Drosophila melanogaster: one gene and its partners. The protein of the gene in region 1 interacts with the protein of each later gene in a pairwise test. Each region holds a gene or a part of one and is shown in the gene's direction. Other genes may lie near its edges.

Region 1 (6,204 bases):
ACATCTACGAATCGGCCAACGACTTCATCGACGGTGTCGAGGATGACATCGGAATGGAGAACATCATGGAGGAGCCCCTGGAGGATGGTGTCGGGGAAACGTCGCAGGCCTACGAGACTAGCACTGTAGTGGACGACCTGGACGAGGATGACTTGCTGGTGCCGAATAGCACCGATAGCGACTACCAGCCCATCGAGCGCTGCCGCAAAGCTAAGGTGCGTAAAACGCGGATGACTAAACGTGGACGTGGCCGACCTCGCGGTGCTAGCTCCGGACACCCACGCAGTTTTAGCGAGGAGCGTCCGCCTGTTCAAGCTAGCTTCAAATCATCTCCCGAAGTATCCTCCACGAACATTATGTGCGAAATCTGCGGCAATATCTACTCCAAGCGAGCCGCTCTCAACATTCATATGCGTCGTCATATGGCCGAGAAACCATTTAAATGCGAGTGAGTATCTGAAATTATCATCTGAACCATTTTATATTATGTAAATCTTATTCCGCTTACAGAATATGCAGCAAATCCTTCGCGGGTCCATCCGAGCTAAATCGCCATATCCGCGTTCACACGGGCGAGAAACCATTCTTGTGTAAATATTGCAACCGCTCGTTTGCGGATCGCAGCTCCAATATTCGTCATGAAAGGTGAAGATGCAATTCCTCATAGTAATCTTCATATAAACTATACTTGTTCCTTTTGCAGAACACACACAAACGAGCGACCTTTCACTTGCTCCACATGCGGCAAGGCATTCTCCTACTCTAACGTGCTAAAAAACCATATGCTCACCCACACGGGCGAGAAGCCTTTTCTGTAGGTCCATTGACTGCTTTAATCATGTATAACCCTAAATTCCCTTTAATTTTTCAGCTGTCGAGTCTGCAATAAGACCTTTTCCCGCAAGCACCAGTTGGATCAGCATTTGGGCACCATGACCCACCAACAGACTGTAATACACCACAAAAACGAACGGACGGGGCGCTATTAGTCGAAAACAATGCAATACAATTTCTGTTAGATAATTCATTAATGTACATTTAATTATATATAAAAATTGTAAAATAAAAAAGAGTACAAATGGTCAGACCGGATGTGTAAAATAATCGGATTTGATTTATTACTATTTGGTTAAAGAACTTGTTCAAAAACACAAATATTTTTTGTAATGTTTTTTATTACGTCCATATATTCGAGAAAAAAATTGGAACACGATTACAATCTTTGATTTTGTGCGTTTATTTGGTAGTTTTAACATCATTTTGGCCATTAAATGAGTGTGCGTTTTTTATTGTTTCTTTTCTTTGTGCTCTGTCGAAGACTTTGTTACCGTTTGTGGAAGCTACAACATGGAATAATAATCGAATGGCACAGGATTAATTAAATCTTCTTTTTTTGGACAAGTAAATATGTTTTGTTTTTTTAGGTTTATAACTTGTAACGTTTTACATCAAAATCTAAAAACGTTTGGAAGTCGGGAGGGATGCGGCTCTTCTTCTATTCCTTAGGGAAACAAAAAGTAAAACCAAATATGCTAGATATTCGCATAAAATGGATTTATGCGAATACCTGTACTTAAATGTACGTCTACCTTGTTAAAGAAAAGGACGCGGAATTTTAGAATTCTTACCGATAGCTAATTAGTGTAATGGCTAGATAGGCAGCTTCATTGTTCAATGGCTAGCTCCGTGAGTTTCTCTTCTTTGCGTTTATGAATATTGCTGGACAGGTGGGTCATCAAATGGGAGATTCGTTTGAAGTGCTTCTGACATACGTAGCAGCTGTAAAATCAAAGTGTGTTGAAACGTGTAATACAAATAATGTGCAGAGTTGGCAGAAATCGAAATGCCCACTAGTGATTCCGCGCATCCACATGGATCATCTTGTGCTTCCTGAGACATCCGGAGCTTACAAAACTCTTTTTGCACGTGTCGCACTCGTAGCGGCGTTCGTTCCGATGGCGGCGATGGTGCTCCTGGCGAGCGCCTGAAGAGGAGAACCGACGTGGACAGTAGACGCACACGTATGGCTGCTCGCCCGTGTGGATACGCGTATGGCTAGTCAGTTCCTTTCGAGTTGCAAAGCTCCTTTCACAATTCCTGAGGAGAAAAATCGTATCTTAGGTGCACTAGCCCAAAGGAGGTTAAGGATAATTTACAAAAAAACACAGTGGAAATTCTTGATGCCTGTGTGCCGGAGCGTGTGCTCTTGAAAGTTTGACTTATTGTTAATGATCCTTCCGCAATCAGGGCATACATATGGACCAGTACCTCCTCCAATTGACTTTTGATGGTTCAAACTAGTCGGTGCTGAGACCTTTTCAGCACTTGGCATTGGAAGATCTTTGACTTCAGGACATAGAATGGACTCGTCCAACTCACTCTCAATTTGGTTATCATCGATGTCTTCGTATATTATTGGATCTGTGGAGCAATCCTTGCTGTCGCACTCAATCCTTTCCAGATTCTGTTTCTCGGCAATGATGCAGCGCTGGCGGAACTTAATGGCTGCCTGCAGATTGTCCAGGCAAGTCGTGCACATTTGGCCGGATATTTCTTTCTTGCAGCTTAGCTGGAAAGTATAAATAGCAAATTAAGTGCCATGATTAAGGAATATTTTTAGACATATTACCTCCACCCCAGTAATGGAGTGAATTTGACGAACTAGATGACCGTTTCCTGGACCAAAAAGGTCTATTGGGGCATCTGATCTAGAGCAAATGCGGCAATTCAGAATTCGCATCTCGACTTTGATTTGTTTTTGAATAATTGTTTACTGTTTACGTTTCGAGCAGCTTATGCGAAATGTGTCGTTAAGCTATTTGCATGGTCACTCTAACTTTTGCACGCATAAACGCTGTTTAGAGTTTTTGCACAGGGATTAGTACCTTATGAAGTAACATAAATACAAATATGTTTTATAATCTCATTTAATAAGAGTACCATAATGGTTTACTGCACTTTTTAAATCATTTAAGTCACACAATGGCATTGCCGCACTTATCGATTTTGTCGATAATAAAACCAGCTGTTGCATCACAATATATATACATACATATGTGTAGTGGATGCGTTTACAAAACAATTGGTTGTTTATATTCGAATTAAACTGAAGTTGGGCTAAACTTCGGTTGATTTTCAACTAACATTATGGCGCTCCAGTGCCGGACCTGCGGCAGCATCATCTACAATAAAATGCCCAAGAATCTCTTTCATATTGAGAACGAGAAGATGCTGCAAGACATAAATCTTGTCACTGGCACAACAGTATGTAAGAAAAATGGTTTCCATTTGATTTGTGCAGCATTTTCTGTGATTGCAGCTCCACAACGATCCAGAGCTGCCCAGCAGCATATGCGCCTGCTGCACGCTTGACTTGAACCAAGCGATTTTGTTCCGGGAGCGGTGCATCCTAACGCAGAAGCAGCTCGTCCATCGTCGTAGATCTCCCGAAGCGAAGGAACCGGCTGAAGATGTTGAGGAGATGGCATCACCGCCGGATTGTCTGAACGATCCATTCGGGGAAGTCGATGAATACATTGTGGAATCCCCAGAAGAAGTTTTGGATCATGATAGTGATGCTCATCATGATCTGGATGAGGATAATTATATTGATTCTGTTGAAGATGTTGATGCGCTTCAAGATATGGCTGAAGTAGCCGAAGAGGATTCTCAAGATGTCGAATCTCTGATCTCAAGTGTACAGAAAGAACTTGAGAGCATTTGCAACGACGACAGCAACTCGGATAACAACGATTACATGGAGCCCCAAAACGGTTCCTATTTCAATGAAACTATAAACGAATATGAAGTATCATCGAACCCAAACACACCGCTGCCCGAATCGAAGAGTGCAGCAGGTCGGTCAACGAAGCCAGCGACCACAAAACCCAAGCGGAAAAAACAGTACGTTACGTGGAAAAATATGACCGAGGAGCAGATCATAGAGCGTAAGCGACTGCAGCGTAAACGCGAGTGTGTTTGCGAACAGTGCGGCCGGCAATTCACCGACCAAAGCAATTTCAAGCTTCACATGCTGCGGCACACGGGCAATAAGAACTTCGCCTGCCAGCAGTGTGGCAAGCGGTTCTACACCGACCATCTCATGACGCTGCACCAACGAATCATTCACCAGGGCGAGAAGCCATACGACTGCCGCTTTTGCACCAAGTCCTTTCACAATAGCAACACTCGCCTCATCCACGAAAGGTAAGGGACGTATCCTTGTATCCACTACGGATTCGGACATTTCTGAGCTCAAACCAAAAAAAATCCTTTCTAGGACTCACACCAATGCCAAACCCTACAGCTGTCATCATTGCGATAAATGTTTTAAGTCAGCTTCGGGACGCAAGCGGCACGAACTAATCCATACAGGAGTGCGAGCCTTTGCGTGAGTATTTTTTGACTAGGCGTTGGTATTCCAAAATTTAATACAATTCCCTTTGCAGCTGCACCATCTGCAAACAATCCTTCCAGCGCAACACTCACTTAAAGGCCCATCTGCGATCTAAATTTCACACTGCAAAAGCGAAAACCATTGGTGCGGAGGTACTACAATTATAAGCTGATATAGTATTTAAATTAAAAAACAAGTATTAGATATAAGAAATAAAGCAATGTTTTCATTTAATTGGAGTGCAAACATTTAAATTGCGATAAAATTTTATTAACCCGATTTAATAATCGACACATGCTGCAGTGCAGCCCTGCCAATAAGTATCCAAGGTGGCAATCCTGACATATTTCAATATAAATTTGGAGTGAAAATAAGAATTTTTATTCAAGTTTACACGTCTGCCCGAAACTTCCAAATACATTTGACGGAGAAAGTATTAAACATTATTTTTTATCTTTAATCGTTTATTTAGCCAAAGGCTTAAAGATTTTGGTATATTTTGGCGCTTCACCAACGGTCACACAGTAACCATTTCCTATGAAATTCACATTGCATTTCTCTTTAGAATTAATAAAACTAAAAAAAGAAAGAAACGAGATTGCACACAATCGTTTACGACGAAGCTTGATTCACCCGCCAAAAGTGTTCCCCTCCGCCCGACTGCACTGTGAGAATACCGGTTGTTGACCTTCGGCAGCATGGAGCGTCGTCGCTTTAACATGAGCAGCATGTCACCCATGGCGGATTCCACGCGGATTGACGCGTCGCTGTTGTAAGACACCACCTGTCCAACTGGATTCTAAGCGGTTACTAATCAAATTTGCTCTCCTTTGTTCAGAAACAATCGTCCGGCGGCCAGTAATTTCCTGAGGGGACTGAGTCCCAAGGGGTCGAATACCTCGCTCAATGGCACACGCACTCCGGAGCGGTCCTTGATGAATCGCTCTGCCACATCGTCCAGTACCATAACGCGACAGAAACTGAACCTCAGTCAGGTTGATCCCAGGTAAGTCAAAGCTTGTGTGCCATTTCACGATGTGACGAAAGTGCAATATCAAATTTTCATACCTTTCAGAACCTTTGCCGATGTGCATAGCAGCGGACTGTCATCCCGGATCGTGGCCTTAAGCGAACGCAGTGGTCTGCAACGCAGCATGTCCGCCAGCAATCTTTACAATCCCTTGACGCAGCCGCGCAGAGCGCCCGCTTCCCCGTTGCCCTACAAGTCAAGGGCGCCGACGCTTTCGATCACGCAGATTGCACCACCGGAGCGCAGCTTTTATTCCGGAAACACGCTGTCAAGCCTGTTGCGATCCAACTCCTTGGTAGGGTTAGTGCCAAAGACCACCGAACAGGAGCAGCTTTCGAGAGAGAATCGACCCATATTGCACCCACCTCATCCACAGCATGAGAGCGAGCCAACTAGAAGCGTGTTGGAGGAGCTTAAGGAGATCTCCCGAAAGCGCATCAACACTGAAGTAAGTATAAGCCATCAATCATCCTATGAGAAGATCACCGGCTTACACTTGGCTTGCTTTCAGGATACGCAACAGGCTCAAGACTACACGAAAAGGAGTTGCCAGCAAAACGTGGACTTTGTGGACTTTGTGGCTCATCACCGTCAGCAACAGAAACTACGTAATTTGCAGCAACAACAGAATCAGTCCTTTAAAAGGCAACGAGAGCTGACGGTATCGGTTCCGCTCAGGCATCATTCGACATCTTTGTCGGCTGCTTCTCCTGCATTGCAACATATGAACTCGAATGGAACCATCTCCCCAACACAATCTCCGGAGCAGGTAGCCAAA
Region 2 (6,597 bases), on another chromosome or scaffold:
CCACTCAATATTTACATGATGACGATGATCTTTTGGTCAATGTTTGTGTTGGTCGGGTATTACAGAAACCGATATCGCGAGTTATCTATGCCATATACACGATCCAATGGGGGGACGGCGGGAGGGGCAACAGTCATGCTCGCATATATTTGTGCTATTTTTGAACTATTTCGGTACTGCGAAATCTATGTGATCTACAAAAACCATGAGATGTCTGAGATATGACTGCTGAGTGCCGGAAATTGTAGGATTCTCGATTCCCGATCATATAATGCATTCTCGAACAGAAAATCTCCATTACGAAATGCTTTCTATTCTTAGGCGTCGCACAACTTTAATTGGAGCTTCCAATGTTGTGTGAATAAGTGTGTATATATCCGTGGTCTATATATGCAACGGATTTTGGTGAGTTTTACCGTCTGTGTCGGAACTGAGTGTGCCGAAATCTTTCCGAACTAGAAGACCGCACCGTCAACGCACGGCATAGTTCACGCGTGTACTGGCCGCTTAGGATGCCGATGCCGATTCCGATTGCGATCCGAAGATACACCACCCGATCTGGCGCCCGATCTTTGGCGAAGCGAGCTACGTGTTAAGTTCTCGGCGTGATGTACTATAACAATGAGAAACAGTTTACTTATCTGGCTTACACTTCAATAGGAAAACAATACTTTTATATAGCTTCTATAACTTCGGGGTGCGATAAGAACATGAATACAGATACACGGATTGCAACAGTACCCAAGCCACTTGTTTTAAACAAATAACAGGATAATGGGGAGTAATGTAAGCTATTGACTGGGTTACAATCAGGGGTCTGATAACAATCAAACATTGTCCAGTTGCCTTTTGCGAATATCAATGACCACTCACGAGTTGCAACTGATAACGATTATCGCCGCACAATGCAGTGGGTGGGTATTTCACTGGGGGGAACTTTTGGGTCCCTAGAACCCAGACGGATTACTCAATGAATATAGGCGATATGTTTGGGTTTACAGCGAAAGTGCTATTAATGTCGACCGTATGCTCTCTTCGATGTGCCAGCTCTCTATTTGCGGGAATGAATGACTATTTTTATGGGTCTGCCGTCGCTGCTACAATGCTGCATTGCTGCAGTGGGACATCCTTTGAACAGGCGCCATGCCAAAGGATATTCTTTGTGGAAGGGGGGGGGGGGGCAAGGGTTAAGGGTCACATTCGTTTGCGCAATACTTCCAGCGATGGGGCGGTGAACGGTGGGCGGGGCGATCGGTCAAGGCTTCGACTGTGGAACGTGACACGCATATGTCGGCCGGAGTTTGGCCCAAAAAGTGGCCCCAATGGTTGTCCTTCGCGCTGGCAATTAGTCCCTAGCAAGGCGCGTCCATATTTTGCAAAAATTCGTGGGGCGCCTTGTTTTCTTCTCTCTGTATGTGTGCATGTGTGTGTACCTCCGTCTCACTCACCTCAAGTGTGTGTGTGTGTATGAAAATACTGCGGTATACGGCTGCGTTTGTGTGTGAGTGTGGGTTTCGGCTCTACTCTCCCGATGATCCTGCTCCTCCGGTCCTAATCCCGGCCTGCTCGGCTGCTCCTGCGTCCTGACTGCGCTAGAAATTCGCTTAAAACGAGCCTCGACGGGTCATTTTTACAATTGTTTTTTGTTGTTCCGTTCGGCTGTTTTACCAGACGTGCTCGTTCCGGTGTGACTGCCCGCCGCTGACTGTAAAATACTAAACGCATTGCAGCTGTGGCAATGCCCAAGTCTTGGTCTTACGGTCACACTGGCAAAGTTTAAAAATTTATTTATTTCAACTTTCAGTTACTTTTCGTTGGCTTGAATATTACACTAAGAATTCAATTTGACACTTGCAATTTATACATTGTATATTATAATATATTATATGTATTATATTTTATATCATATAAAGATATTTATATCTATTGATCTTTTGATTATAAGCTCTTTGGTTGAACAATATAAGTGCAACTTTCTCCATCACCTTCCTATCTTTTTACAATATGCTTACCTCGTCAATACGTTTTTTCTATTTCAAATATTTCAATATTTCAAAGAAATATTTTGTTTATTTTTCTGTGTGTTTTTAAGCAATCTGACCCCTGTAGAAGAATCCCTTATAATATTAACAAATGTATCCTCAAAATAGATCGATCTCTATCTTCGCAGACTTACACGAAACATTCCAGAACCGATAGTTTTATGCGATATATGAGATTTAAGGAGTACTTTCCGCATTTCGCCATCACAGTCACGCTTTCCTTGGCATTTGCAATCAAATAAGCGCTAATAATAATCGTAAAAGCATAAGAAGCATATAAAGAAGAGTCACCGCCAAAAGCATGCACAAATATATATAAATGGGGAGCGATTTAAAAACAGTGCACTGTGTTTAAAACATCGACAGCTATCGGTTAGCATATCGATATTGACATTCGCAGTCAAACGTTTTCGAGATACAACCCTAAAATCCGAGAAGCATCCAGAAATTTCGACGTAGACGAGGGCGAACCTATAAAATGAGGTTGACGCACGAATCCCGCTCATTATTAAACAAAATTTTGAAGAGAAAGAAACTCTGAAGTAGGGTGTGTTTTTAGTGCGCAAGCCACATTTGGTGGATAAAGAAAAAAGCGAAGAAGAACAATTGAATTGAATCAATTGCGAGAAAGAGACAAAACTCATAAATATTTAAAGAACATTGCCCCGTGAAAATATAAATAGTGTGAATACACAGTGAACAATACCAACAATTGCACTTTGCCATTGCATTTTGCACTTTTCCACTTGGATTTTTGAACTTTTACGGATTCCCAGACAATCGCTTACATTTAAGGTAAGCTTCGTTGGACATATTGCCACATGTGGGCGCATCGATTTGATCTGCTGAAAGAAGCACATCGGGAGCGGAGCTCTCGTTGATGGTGACTACATACGTCACTCGCGTGACAACACGGCAGTTGCACAACTGTGCTGTTCTGTGCTTCTAGCACTTTCCATCGCCCCAACCCAGCAAGCTGGCAATCAGTATTCATTCTAATCTATAGCGTTCGTTCGTTTGTGTTTCCCCTATATTTTCAGCTGAGAGATGGGCAAAGACTTCTACAAGATTCTGGGCCTCGAGCGCAAGGCCAGCGACGATGAGATCAAGAAGGCCTACCGCAAACTGGCACTCAAATACCATCCCGACAAGAACAAGAGCCCACAGGCGGAGGAGCGCTTCAAGGAGATCGCCGAGGCGTACGAGGTGCTGTCGGACAAAAAGAAGCGCGACATCTTCGACAATTACGGTGAGGATGGATTGAAGGGCGGACAGCCGGGACCAGATGGCGGCGGTCAGCCGGGAGCGTACACTTACCAGTTCCACGGCGATCCGAGGGCCACATTTGCCCAGTTCTTTGGATCGTCGGATCCGTTTGGCGCGTTCTTTACCGGCGGCGATAACATGTTTAGTGGCGGTCAGGGCGGCAATACCAACGAGATCTTCTGGAACATTGGCGGCGACGATATGTTTGCCTTTAATGCCCAGGCACCCAGTCGCAAGCGCCAGCAGGATCCGCCCATCGAGCATGATCTGTTCGTGTCGCTGGAGGAAGTGGACAAGGGATGCATCAAGAAGATGAAAATCTCACGCATGGCCACCGGAAGCAATGGGCCGTACAAGGAGGAGAAGGTGCTGAGGATCACAGTGAAGCCGGGCTGGAAGGCCGGTACCAAGATTACCTTCCCCCAAGAGGGTGATTCGGCGCCAAACAAGACGCCAGCTGACATCGTCTTCATCATTCGCGACAAACCGCATTCGCTGTTCAAACGCGAGGGAATCGATCTAAAGTATACAGCCCAGATCAGTCTGAAGCAGGCCTTGTGCGGAGCACTGGTTAGTGTGCCCACGCTGCAGGGCAGCAGGATACAGGTGAATCCGAACCACGAGATCATCAAGCCCACCACAACGCGCCGGATCAACGGACTGGGTCTGCCGGTGCCCAAGGAGCCATCGAGGCGCGGCGATCTGATCGTCTCCTTCGACATTAAGTTTCCCGACACACTGGCACCCAGTCTGCAGAATCAGCTGTCCGAGCTGCTGCCCAACTAGGCTAGAGCTGTGCCAGCCACACACACACACACACACACGCATATAATTGTTATCACTTTAGTTAAGGCCTATATTTAATTTACCGTACGTACTCGTAAGACAACTTAGCCTAACCAATTGTAGCCCTAAGCTAGTGAGTGTGCCAAGCGAAGAGCTGTAGATATTGGCCGAGGATGCAAGCGCTGGATAGGATTAGGAAAGAGAACAACACACACACACACACACACATAAAGCAGCCCGTGTAGCCCGTTTCGTGTTGGAGACTGATCGATTATTAGCTATTTAGCATTACACAAATTCCATAAGTTGTTTTGTTTACCGCCACATGAATCGGTGCCTCAACATCTTATACATAATAATCCCAAAACAAAATATTAAATAAATGAGGTATTATAAATTTAAAGTAACTAACCATTTTTCAAGCAAAGCACATTTTCGGCATTCCAACACGGGGAGGTTACATCAGTTAGTAGAACACTTATAGATTTATACGCCGTAAGGACATAGTACGTTTTAGTACCAATTCTATTATGTTATAAACAATAAAATTACTTATACACACATCAAGTGTCGTTTCTGGGTCAGTGGGTTGCAAGCATTATAGAAATTGCTAGATTTCACGTGGTGGCAATCAAAATGTGGTGGCTAAAACCAAAACAACATGTATTGCTGGCAATTTCTTCTATTTTTAAATATATATAACTAGCGCGCCAAACAATTCAAAAGTCTCCACATGTGGAAACTTCCAGAGGGCAACACGCCACCTGGCGTGTATAGATCGTGTGTTACATTTCAAAAACCATCTGGCATCACTGGCAACGTTTGTTTAAAACGTCGAGTGGAAAAGATGAAATTTAAAATAAAATCGTTGTTTAAAATCCTTTTTCCAAAACCTGAAATCCCCGAAAGCCAAAAAGAGAATCAATAAAAAGAAATTCCATGTTAATTTTATTTTAAATTTCACATTTTATTTTCATTTGTTTTCTCTTCAAAAGGATTTCGTAATTTAATCATTTGTCACACATTTTCACTATCCTTATGTTGAGTGTTAAGTTGCATTTGCAATTGTATAATCATTGTGTATTTCTTTTTACTTTCTTTACTGTTGCATATTTGTTTTTTTTTTTTATTCTCTTTTTCAAAAAGTATTAACATCCATTTCATGTTCGTTTTTGTTGTAATATATTTTTGTTCTTCTTGTTTGCAGCTGCTAATTAGGTTTACAATAAAAATTGAATTTCAATGTTGCTGTCTGCTGTTGTCCATTCGAAAATGGCAACATTTGTTTCCAATCCTGCTGCATTTTGCTATTGATTTCTGTTTCGAATTTGGTTTTCGTGTGTGTGTGTGTGTGTGTGTGTGTGTGTTGTGTGGCTGACTTATAAATTGTATTTAATATGCAATTGTTACCCTCGTTTTTCCTGCTGCCTCGTTCGCTTGTCGAAAGGAAAGTGTGATAAGAGATACATGTACATATAACTAACAATACGCTTAAACAAATCAAATATCCGATAACAATTTGTTAAAAGAGATTCCAGTGCATTGTGTGCACGTGAACTTAATTAAATGAGTACATTCGTTTGGTTCTCAAACATTCGTATAATAGTGACTATGTATGTATATATATTTAATAAAAATGCTTTAAAAATAGTCAAATGCGTACAAAAAGTTTCACGCCACGTTCATTCGCCATCAAATGAGTTTCATAATTTAACTATTTCATTTCGCTAAAGTCTTCCAACTGACTGTTGGTTTTTATTGTTAATCATTATAATTATTATTTATGTACGTTGCCTCTGTCGAACTTATACAAACTGTAAAAATTATGTTAAAATGTTGTGATTTGGTATTTGGTAAATTTCTCCTTGTTTTGTCCCGTGTTTGATTAGCTTTCATCTTCATAATCATCCTCATCGTTGATGCGATGATGAAGATCTATCATTAGACTGTTGTATACATTTAGAATTTCTATTTACTCTCCACATCATATAGCTGTCTATGGTCTGTAGTTTCAATTATTACGTTTTTCTTAGTTTTTCTCATTGTTTAATTCGAGTTTATTTTTTGTATATTTAATTCAATTTGATTGGAAACCTAAAAAATGTTTTGATTATGTTTCGATTTGTTGCTATATGGTTCAATGAGTTTATGACGTTTTTCTGAGAGTGGGTGGAGGGGGGGGGGTGGCGTACAAAATGAATGAGTGTGAGCAATGCAACTGCAAGTACACTGAAAAAAAAAAGACAATTGCCACTCACACGCACACTGCTGTGTGTGCGGCCAGTAAAATAAACAAACGTTCAGCAATTGGGGATTTCATTGTTCCTGAATCGAATTAACATCCAAGCTGCATTCACAACCAATTAATTATTATTTCTCATCTGGTAGAATTTTTTCATTGTATTCGATTATATATTTGCATCGTCTGGCTAAAAATTCGTCCTACAAAAATTGAAAACCATAGGGTATTGAGACGTAGGAAAATCAAAAGTATCCTTTAATC
Region 3 (9,268 bases), on another chromosome or scaffold:
TGCGTTTAGTTTGGTTGCGCGAAAACGTGTTGGCAAGCGCTTGGTATGATCCGTTAAAAAATATGTATACATACATAAATACAAAATAAACGCCGATAGGGAAACAGACTCAAGTGCAAATTATTTTTGACATATATTTTTTGCGGCTTTGCGGCGAAGGTCGAAAGCTCGCGCGATCGAAATGGGCAACATAATAAGCAGCAACAAACAACCGCCAAAATATCATAAAACAATGCAAATAATGAAACATGGCGAAAACACTTGAGCAGATAGTTGAAAAACCCGCTAAACGCAAAAAGAATTCCGTTTGAAATAACCCAAAAAAAGTATCTTGACTTTTGTTATTTATCTTTTTTTTATATATGTATATGTTTTTTTTTTGTTGGCCAGAGAAGGCAGAATGAAGGCTATCCTGCCCCAACCTTCTCCAGATAATGACGGATGATACACCAACACACCCACGAGCTCTGCAAATTTATGATCATAATTAACATGACGATGACTTTCTGCTCTATGTGCTCCACTAGTTTTAATGCTCGTGATTTAAATAAATAGCACAACTGAAATTTGAATAAGCACGCAACAATCCCCACGCACAAAAAAAAAAAAACAAAAACAAAAGACTTGAGTGCGATGGGTCGGGTACAGCAGAGGTCAAAGGACTATGGCTGCATTTCCAAAGCAAAGTAAAGTATAAAGTAACTGAGCACTTGTCTGCCTTTGGGCATCTTTAAGATCTCGATATAATTTAGCAGAAAGCCCTCAGTTGCACGTATATGTAATCTACATACGGATACAAAGCTTATCACGACCGGCAGATAAACAAGAGTTCAGCAATCTTTTAGCTAGTTTCGACGAAATTCGCTGCAGCCAGTTTGTTTTTAATGCAATGAAAGCGTTAAATTAACTGTATTCATATTAAACAAACAACAATGAAGCTTAATAAGCTAGCAATTTACTATTTTTAATGCTAGTTTTTTCACCCCCACTGTTCGTTGCGTCTACGTAGGCCATGTGCAAGGTGGCAACGCTGCTTGCAAGGTGTCGCCGAGTTGGCAATGCGCAGGCGCAGAGCGGGCTAGAGCGAGATGGAGAGATGCACAGTGAAAATTGGAGAACAAGATTAGATGTTATTTTTAAATATTACTAAGCCATTGGTCGTAATTAATGGTTTACAGAAGAGTGGACGTAGAGTCATTATTCTTCGATTTCCATTTCCATTTTATAACTGGCAAATAGTTTTTCCCTCCCTCGATTGCTGAATTTTCCCACTGTGCGTTGGGCCCACGAAAAGTGGGTGGAAAGCAAAGGAAAGGAGAGCAAGACAAGGTTACAACAGAGCAGGAACAACAACAACAACTAGTGGCAGGAGCAGCTGATGCGGTGGGAGTGGAAGAGCAAAGCGAATTGGGAAAGAGGAATTGGGAAAGGGAAGCGGGCAATGGGAAATGAGCAATGGGAATGGCAATAGGAATGGAAATGGAAAAGGAAGTAAGAGCAGGGCTGCCCTGTTGTCATTGTTGTTGTTGTTGCTCAGCGAAGCTGCAAAGAACGATGATGAACGATGATGAATGATGATGGACAATGAGCGATGAACAATGGACAATGGACGCTTTTAATTACATTAATGCGCGAAATTTAAGCATACAAAATTAGTTGTACCCGATTTTCTTTTGCTGCTTCGCTAATTTGTAAAAAAAAAAAGGTAGCAACAGACACACACACGCGAGCATAAACCCACACAGACAGCGAAAGAAAGTTTCTGTATTTTTTCCCACTCCACTTTTTTCGTTGATAATGTTTACACACACACATTGAGTTTTTTTACGGAAGAAGTAAAGATGATGAAGAAGAACGACACATAAAATATAAATAAAGATGCTGGAACCTCACCTTTGCTGCTGCTTCTTCGGCCACTGTAAATGAACCGTTAGGCTGGAACAGGGGGTGGTGGTGGTTGCGTTAGTGCGCTGCTGCTGTTGTTGTTGCTGTTGCGGCAGCAACAAATTGCCGTTGTTTATCGTTTTTTTTTTATCCGCGTTTCGTTTTCAATCAGCTAGACTTTTCCACATTCGACGAACTCAATATGTCGCGATCAACTCGTATCCGATCGAGAATCGTTTGCATTAACTTTATAATACACGATTATTTTGACGACACTACCGAACTTTTTGCTGCTGTAAACGTCACACAAACACACACACACACACACGCACAGGCAATTGCACACACCTCAGCAGCAGCAATTTTTTCTCTCGCCCTCTCTCCCTATGCTGTTCTGTATGACTTTATTTTTATTTAAATACTAGTACTTTTTTTAAAAGGACTACTTTAATTCAATCACTCGTTATACATCGACCGAATATTGCACTGGAAAAAAATACAGCGTTCGTTCGACGACGGTGAATTCACGAATGTTTTTTTTCGCCCACTGGCGGTGTGACCGTCGCGCAAAAGCTGAAGTAAGCCGCTAAATAAGTATTACCATATACTAAAATTCTCTGAAGCGCAGATAGCTGATAACCGATAGAAAAGTTTCTACTGCATTATCGATTATTTGAATAATACCAAAAATACCAATGATAGCTGTTTAGCACAGACTCAAACCTGTACAGTGGGCTGCAAGTGCTGTTATTACATGTTTGTAAATGATTTTGAAACATTCAACCATATGAGATAAGTATGAATCTTAATGGAGTTATGTTGCTCAGAGTAATAAGTTGTTGTTCAGCATTCCATTGATGAAAAGTGTCCATAAGATCTTTGTCGTTTAATGATAGGAAATAGGCTATTTGTTGATAAATTTAAAATACATTTTGTGGTTAATGATTGTTGGCGACATAAATAACCCATAAAAATGCGCCGAGGCGGTGAAATATTTTCGCGGTATCTGCGCACGGGCACACCAGCTAGATGGCGTCTTTAGGAGTGTGTAAAATTAATCAGGAAAGTTACCTGAATGCAAACGCGATTTTAAAAGTCGCATCTGCTGATTAAGTGGGCAAATCGAGTGCTCCTCGCGCCACAATTAGTCCGTGGTACAGTGGCCTCACTAATTGCGCAAAACACACATCTGTAAGCGCATATTAACCGTATATTTTAAAGCGGTAAATCTGCGCTCTTTGCTAATTTTCATTTTCGTGGGAAAATCGCAAAGGGCTGAAACCTGCGATAATGGATATTTTTGATATGGTCAAAGCGGCGCCGCCGCCGCAAACTATTAATCCGGTGGACACCAAGCTCTCCACTCCGTCGCCCATACCGCCCGATTCGCCAATCGACGTAAATGGTAAATTGAGCATAATTTTGTTTGCCTGCAAATTGGCTGGCAATCCTAGAAGTTTAATAACCTCCAATCGTTTTTTCCATTTTCTGTCAGACCTCCTGGAGAGTGGAAACCAATTGGACGAGAATGACTTGCGCATGTCGAGAAAATCAAAGAATGTCGAACAGTGCAGCATTGATCTGTTTGATTCGGAAACATCATTCGACCATCTCGACGAGTCATTGGCCAAGAGGAAGCGTAAGAGCGTGGCTAACTCAAAACCAAACAAAAGCAGGAAATCCACTGTCTCTGCATCGACGCCGCACAACAAGAGGCCAAAAGTGTCCATTGACGACGACGGCGAGGCCATCGAGGAGGACCAGCAATCGATGGTGGTCGTTCCCACCAAGACGAAGGCTCAGCAAAAGATGTTCAGCGATCAGCAGTCGCCGAATGTTAAAAGAAAGGTGCGGGTGCTATTACGTCGCCTGAAACAGACAGAAATCGATTCGGCCGTCGAATCTTTGGCCAATTCATCATTTATCAATGTGCCCGAGATCGTTAACCAGAGCGGTACTAGTGGCCGTAGCAGGCACAAAAAGAGAAAAACGTCACCTAAGAAACAAAAGTCATCAACAGCGCAGACCAATTTCCACATCAAAGTTCCTTTGCAGAATGGCGCCAAAAAGCGTGCTCTGAACCACTCGTTGCGCGCTCATACACCGCCGCCCAGTTTGGCCAAGAGTTCTGAAAGCACACACTCCGCACTGAAGCGAAGTCCCAAGCCCAAGATCAAGGCGAAGAGATTATCCAGTCGCGGACGCAACACCGATCCGGATTTGGTTAAGCGTTATGGCGCGCATTTCTTTGGCTGTGTGGTGAAGGTGAGGAGGACGCGTTTACCAAGTGCCAAGTGGCCTGACTGCAAACCGCCTCCCATTGGCGACGGAGTTGTCAGGAAGGTGTATCCCAAGAAGGCGGTATCCTTCAGCGAGGCCGTCGAGATTCTGGGCAGCCCCGGGGGTCCATCACGTCGGTCTACTTTCGGTTCGCTTTCATCGAGAGGAGCTCCGAAACCGACACGACTGCAGCGTGTGGATGCCACTGGCAATGTGCTGGAGGACATAGCACTGACCTCCACGCCGCTCTTCTCGTCATCTTCTGGAGGCTCGCGCGAGCGGGTTAGGCGCCGCTCATGCAACGGTACGCCTGTGGTCGGAAGGCTCAAGTTACGCAGGTTGGGCCGCCTAAGCATAGACAACAGCTCCTCCAGGTCTGATGGAGGTGGAGATAATGATGATGACGATGAGGAGTATATAGGTAGGAGGATGCACTTATTAAACTGACATCAAACTCGATGTAATCGCATTAATCATGTCTCATTTTGTATTAAATGATTTCGTTATTTTTATGACAGGATTTGACCAAATCAAATTAAAGAAGAATTGAGCTAAAACTAATGCAATTCTCTCCATTTTTACGTCCAGTGCCCAACGATGTGCCGGGGTCCCAGAGATCTGGAACGCCTCCGCCCAAGAAAAAGAAGATATCCTTCACCACGACCATCAGTGATGATGAGGACGAAAAGCCGGTACTAAAAAAGCAGAAGGATGCACAAAAAAAGCAGCCAAAACCCCTAAAAGAAAGATCAAACAAAAAGACGGACAAGATGCTAAACGAAAAGGAGACGACTGACAAAATGCAAACGAAAAAGGAGAAAAAAACGGAAAACTCACCAGTTGTGGAAATTGAATCCTCCGATCCTGATGTCGAAATCAAACCACCAGTGAAGGAAATCGAAACGAATGAGCGAGAGGGAGACGCACACGAAACTGAGACAAATGAAGTAGAAAGAGATAGAGAAGAACAATTTGTGGATGCAACAGAGAAAAATACAGATGAGGCGAAGGAAAAAAAAGTAGTAAAAGATATGCCAGAGTTAAAAGAGGCTGACAATTCGGAGGAAAAATCGGAAGATGCTCGAGAAGAAGTTTTGCTAGACGAGGACGAGAAAAATCTGGAGGAAAATGCAGCTGAAATCAGCGATAACGCCGTCAAATCTTTAGAAAAACCAACGAACGAAGACAGGGTTGAGAAAGTAGAGGACGAGGTCGAGCATGCCGAGGAGTTCAGTGACTTGCCGACCCCACCACAGCTCCCGTCCACAACTGACGATAACGAAGATGACGTGCTGGAGATCCAGACGTCGTTGGACGATGTCCGTCAATTGCATACGCCATCATCCCGCCAGAGTACGCCCAAATCGCGCAGTCGCCTCGATTCCGGTGACTCCGATTGCAGCTTTAAGTCCGCCAGCGATAACGCCAAGCTGCTAGCTGGACAAGCCATTGAGGAAACAGAGCAGAAAGCAAGCAAAGCGCCGAACGATGACGAGGATCAACAAACAGCAGCAACCATCATCGGTGATCCCATCGATTCACCCGAACTGCCGGCCGAGCTTATGACCCCGCCCTCGGCGCCCAGGACAGTGAATGGTGAACCCACCAGCGAATCCAGATCAACGGCAACGACATACTACTCGCCCATGGAGGATCCCATGGCCACGCTAGATGACGTCATCATGGACCAGCTATCCGGTGAGTGCCAGACGATCGCCTCCATCGCAAGGCAATCTCAAATAATAGCATGAATACTTAGGGAGTACAAGTGGGGACTGTTAAGTCTTCAAGACAGTAAAGTACGTCATTTTCTACTTTAATTCTTGCCAAGTAGTCTCGCTTTTCACGAAACTTCTCTATTTTGTGAGGCCAAAAACTCTTACGTTAAAGCTCTAGTGACACTTGGTCATTGGTCAAGCATTCCATTGATTGATTTAATGAACATTCGCCCGTTGCGTACATTTGTCATTAAAACAACTACTTAATAGGCATTTTTTGTACTTTCTCTGGTCTTCTCTAAGTCTGGGTATCTTAATTAAGTGTAAGTGTATAGGCAATGCACAATTTCCAGTTGCAATTTGAACTTGCTTATATTTCATACTTTCGTAAATGTTAATTTGAATGCACCTTCTAATAACTATTTGCTCTGCTTATGCCTTTTAGAACCCAACTTTCAGTTGAACTCCAGCCGCCATGCCATCTCGAGGGGTACACTGGACGAAATAATGACCGCGTTAGAATCGTAGTAAGCTGGCAAATTGCGCACCAAGTACAGATAGACAGATACAGATCGAAACCGAAGCATACACACAGACACAGACATAGCTACAAACTCACACGCACACACGTAGGTTTATTAAGGACCGATTAATTTGTACATTTAACTGAATTTATAATTAGTTCTCCCTACGATCAAGAAGTAGTCTTACGTTTATTTTTAAAGACATATTCAATTTATATGCAAACTCACGTTGAAAATACCAAAGTATTTTTGCAAGAGAAAGCTATTGGTGCAAACGTTAATATTTTGCACTTATATGATTGCTAAATTAGTCAGCAAAACAGGGACAAAATTTAACACAGCTCACTCACTCAACTTGCAAATGTGTGCGATAGACCGTAAAAATTAATATTTTAATATTATTAACGGTTAAGCGGAATCAGAAAATCAATTTTCAATGTTTAAGCTACTTAAACAGAGCGTTACGTTAGTTTGACTTTCAAGAATACGTATTGTTCGTTTCTCATCCTTTTTTTTTTTGACAACTTAGATTTAAGAAACACTTGCGTTCATGCACATATATAAATATAAATATATATATTTAAGTATGGATCGTCTTAAATGTACTGTAAGTTCAATGTATTAATGTACATCATCATCATAAAATGTATGTATGTAAAAAGAAAACAGATTAAAAATGGATAAAATATGTTGCCAGTTTTCAATGGGATTGGCTGAGAAACTTTTTCGAAATTTGCCGCCATTTGAAGATGTTGCCACATTCGAACATTGACGTTGCCATATTGTGAAAAGTCTTGTACCGTTTATTTTAAGCTATGTAAAAATGATGTTATTTTTATTACCTAACATGTTTTTTTTTTCACAGAATATTCTACAGTTAATTTATACAGATTGAATAAATTTAATGTGCTAGAAAGAGATTTTTTTGTGACTAATTTGAATAGATAAATGGAAAGATGTTATCTTGCTTTATGAACAACACACACTTAACTTTCTGATATATTTATCAATCACAGGATAACTTAAGCTCGTTTTTATTAATGTTCTATTATATAATTAATATAATAAAATGTTTCTATACACAAGCAACCATCGCTCAGCGTTTCCGTTCTTATATATTCTTATTATAATAAGTATTATTTCGAATTTATGCAACGATTTTACGTTCGTTCAGTTTCGCGGCCAACGTTGCCACATGTTGCCACACGCTTGCCCCCAAAGGTGGCCACCTTTCATGCAGAGCCCCGCGTATCCAATGCAGCGCCAAAAGCAAAACAGTCGCAACTTTGACTTGTTGACGGTTGGTTCTCCTCGGGATTCTGGGGCCGCGTCAAAATTCCAGATCGTTTGGCGCGAGTGCGAACTATTTCAAAAGTTGCCCCTTTGCGTGAGACGTGCCCCCGAAATGTTGAACTCACAGGACCAAAGCGGGCCGGGCCCCTGAAAACCAAAAAGAAAATAAAGAAAGAAATTAAATAGATATAAACAAAAGAAAGAAAAAAACACACTATTAAATGATAGCACAAGTAATTTAGGCATAGGCCGGCCAAAACAATCAGAAACGGAGTGCAGAATGCCCATGAAGAAGGTGACGGTGAAGGAGTACGATTCGCAGGATGAGGCCAGCACCGAGCTGCTGGAGAAGCTCAAGCATCTCGACCGTCGTGTGGATGCCGCCGAGGGTGGTGGCTTGGCCAAGGGAACCGCCGGCGGACGAAGGAGCACCGCCTGCTGGCAGTCGATGAAGTGGAAGTCGGCGCTCAATCACATCGGACTGCTCGTCTCCCTGTCCATTTACTGCGGCGTGGGCGGATTGGTAAGCGATGGTGGGGGGCAACGTGTGTGCCCAGTTCGGTGCCCAGCAGACCCGAACATAACTAGGCAAATATTTAATTATTTTCAATATGTTTTTATTTATTTATTTTTGTTTTTCCATCCCCCCCTACCTTTGGCTCGCCTTTTGCGGCTGCCGCGAACATGCAAAATGATTTGTGTTGTTGGGCGAAAAGCCGAAAAATGGCTAGCGTTCAAATTGTTTGGAGCAAGAAAGAAATGCAAAACACACATAAATACAGTGGCCAATCGAGCAGGGGATTTAACTTGGCCTAAAAAGAAAATATTTAATATCCCTCTAATGCATTTTTAAGCCAACAAATTTAAGTCACTATATCCTTCCTTCAAATAAATGTTGCATATATAAAAAATTATGAATCCAACGATCGTGCACTGTACCAATGCGATTAAAAACAATAACCCAAACAGAGCGCAAATTTATTGCAGTGGGAAATAGTAAAAATTAGACCAAAATTAAGTCATAAAACTATTTTGTACATTTAAGTGCCCCGCCTCCCCTAATTGCCACTGCACACATATATCGCCACATATCCAGACGCCCAAATCTGTCTGGCTGGCGGAGCAGGAGGCAGTGCATCATGTGGACCACGTCCAGGCCTTTTTGGCCTTGTCTAAACATTTACATTTTCGCCAATGACGTCGTGGTTTCAGCTCTTGGCCAAGTTCTAGATACATATATACTTGTATATATATGTACATATGTGTATTTGGAACTGATGCCGTCAGTTGTCCACGACTGCAAACTACAACTGGCTGCAGTTAATCCAAGGCAAAGGTTGGAGCTGAAGCAGCCAGGAGTCCTAATTGCTGTGTCCCACGACTTGACATATGGCCAAGTGTCGTGCCGGGTGGGTATTTGTTATATTGCCTCTCAATTTCCGCGGACTACAACAATTGGCCACTGCGAAATGGATACGATGGTGTGGGTGACGGGCTAAATGAGCCAAACGAATGAATGTCGAAGCTTATCGAGAATGTCTGATATGTATAGGATATATAGTACGATGG

The links. Proteins that work in one complex are often made in the same cells at the same time.
Region 2: the proteins of CG18764 (region 1) and DnaJ-1 interact in a two-hybrid assay, tested with the Drosophila melanogaster proteins (one large-scale study listed by BioGRID).
Region 3: the proteins of CG18764 (region 1) and HP5 interact in a two-hybrid assay, tested with the Drosophila melanogaster proteins (one large-scale study listed by BioGRID).

Annotation. Positions count from the first base shown.
Region 1 is NT_033777.3:11,623,847-11,630,050, forward strand, and holds CG18764 (uncharacterized protein), read left to right. Parts: upstream 1-3,042; 5' UTR 3,043-3,147; coding exon 3,148-3,264; intron 3,265-3,319; coding exon 3,320-4,206; intron 4,207-4,279; coding exon 4,280-4,390; intron 4,391-4,448; coding exon 4,449-4,563; 3' UTR 4,564-4,606; downstream 4,607-6,204. Other genes in the region: CG14711 (uncharacterized protein), read left to right, coding at 1-448, 511-645, 704-814, 872-989; CG6813 (uncharacterized protein), read right to left, coding at 1,665-1,779, 1,852-2,097, 2,157-2,569, 2,630-2,740; CG14712 (uncharacterized protein), read left to right, coding at 5,095-5,168, 5,235-5,402, 5,472-5,874, 5,938-6,204.
Region 2 is NT_037436.4:5,748,086-5,754,682, reverse strand, and holds DnaJ-1 (DnaJ-like-1), read left to right. Parts: upstream 1-2,493; 5' UTR 2,494-3,089; coding exon 3,090-4,094; 3' UTR 4,095-4,654; downstream 4,655-6,597.
Region 3 is NC_004354.4:11,451,903-11,461,170, forward strand, and holds HP5 (heterochromatin protein 5), read left to right. Parts: upstream 1-2,883; 5' UTR 2,884-3,174; coding exon 3,175-3,289; intron 3,290-3,379; coding exon 3,380-4,585; coding exon of another isoform or gene 4,586-4,611; exon of another isoform or gene 4,612-4,682; coding exon of another isoform or gene 4,683-4,714; exon of another isoform or gene 4,715-4,752; coding exon 4,753-5,862; intron 5,863-6,327; coding exon 6,328-6,410; 3' UTR 6,411-7,325; downstream 7,326-9,268. Other genes in the region: CG43155 (uncharacterized protein), read left to right, coding at 7,980-8,222.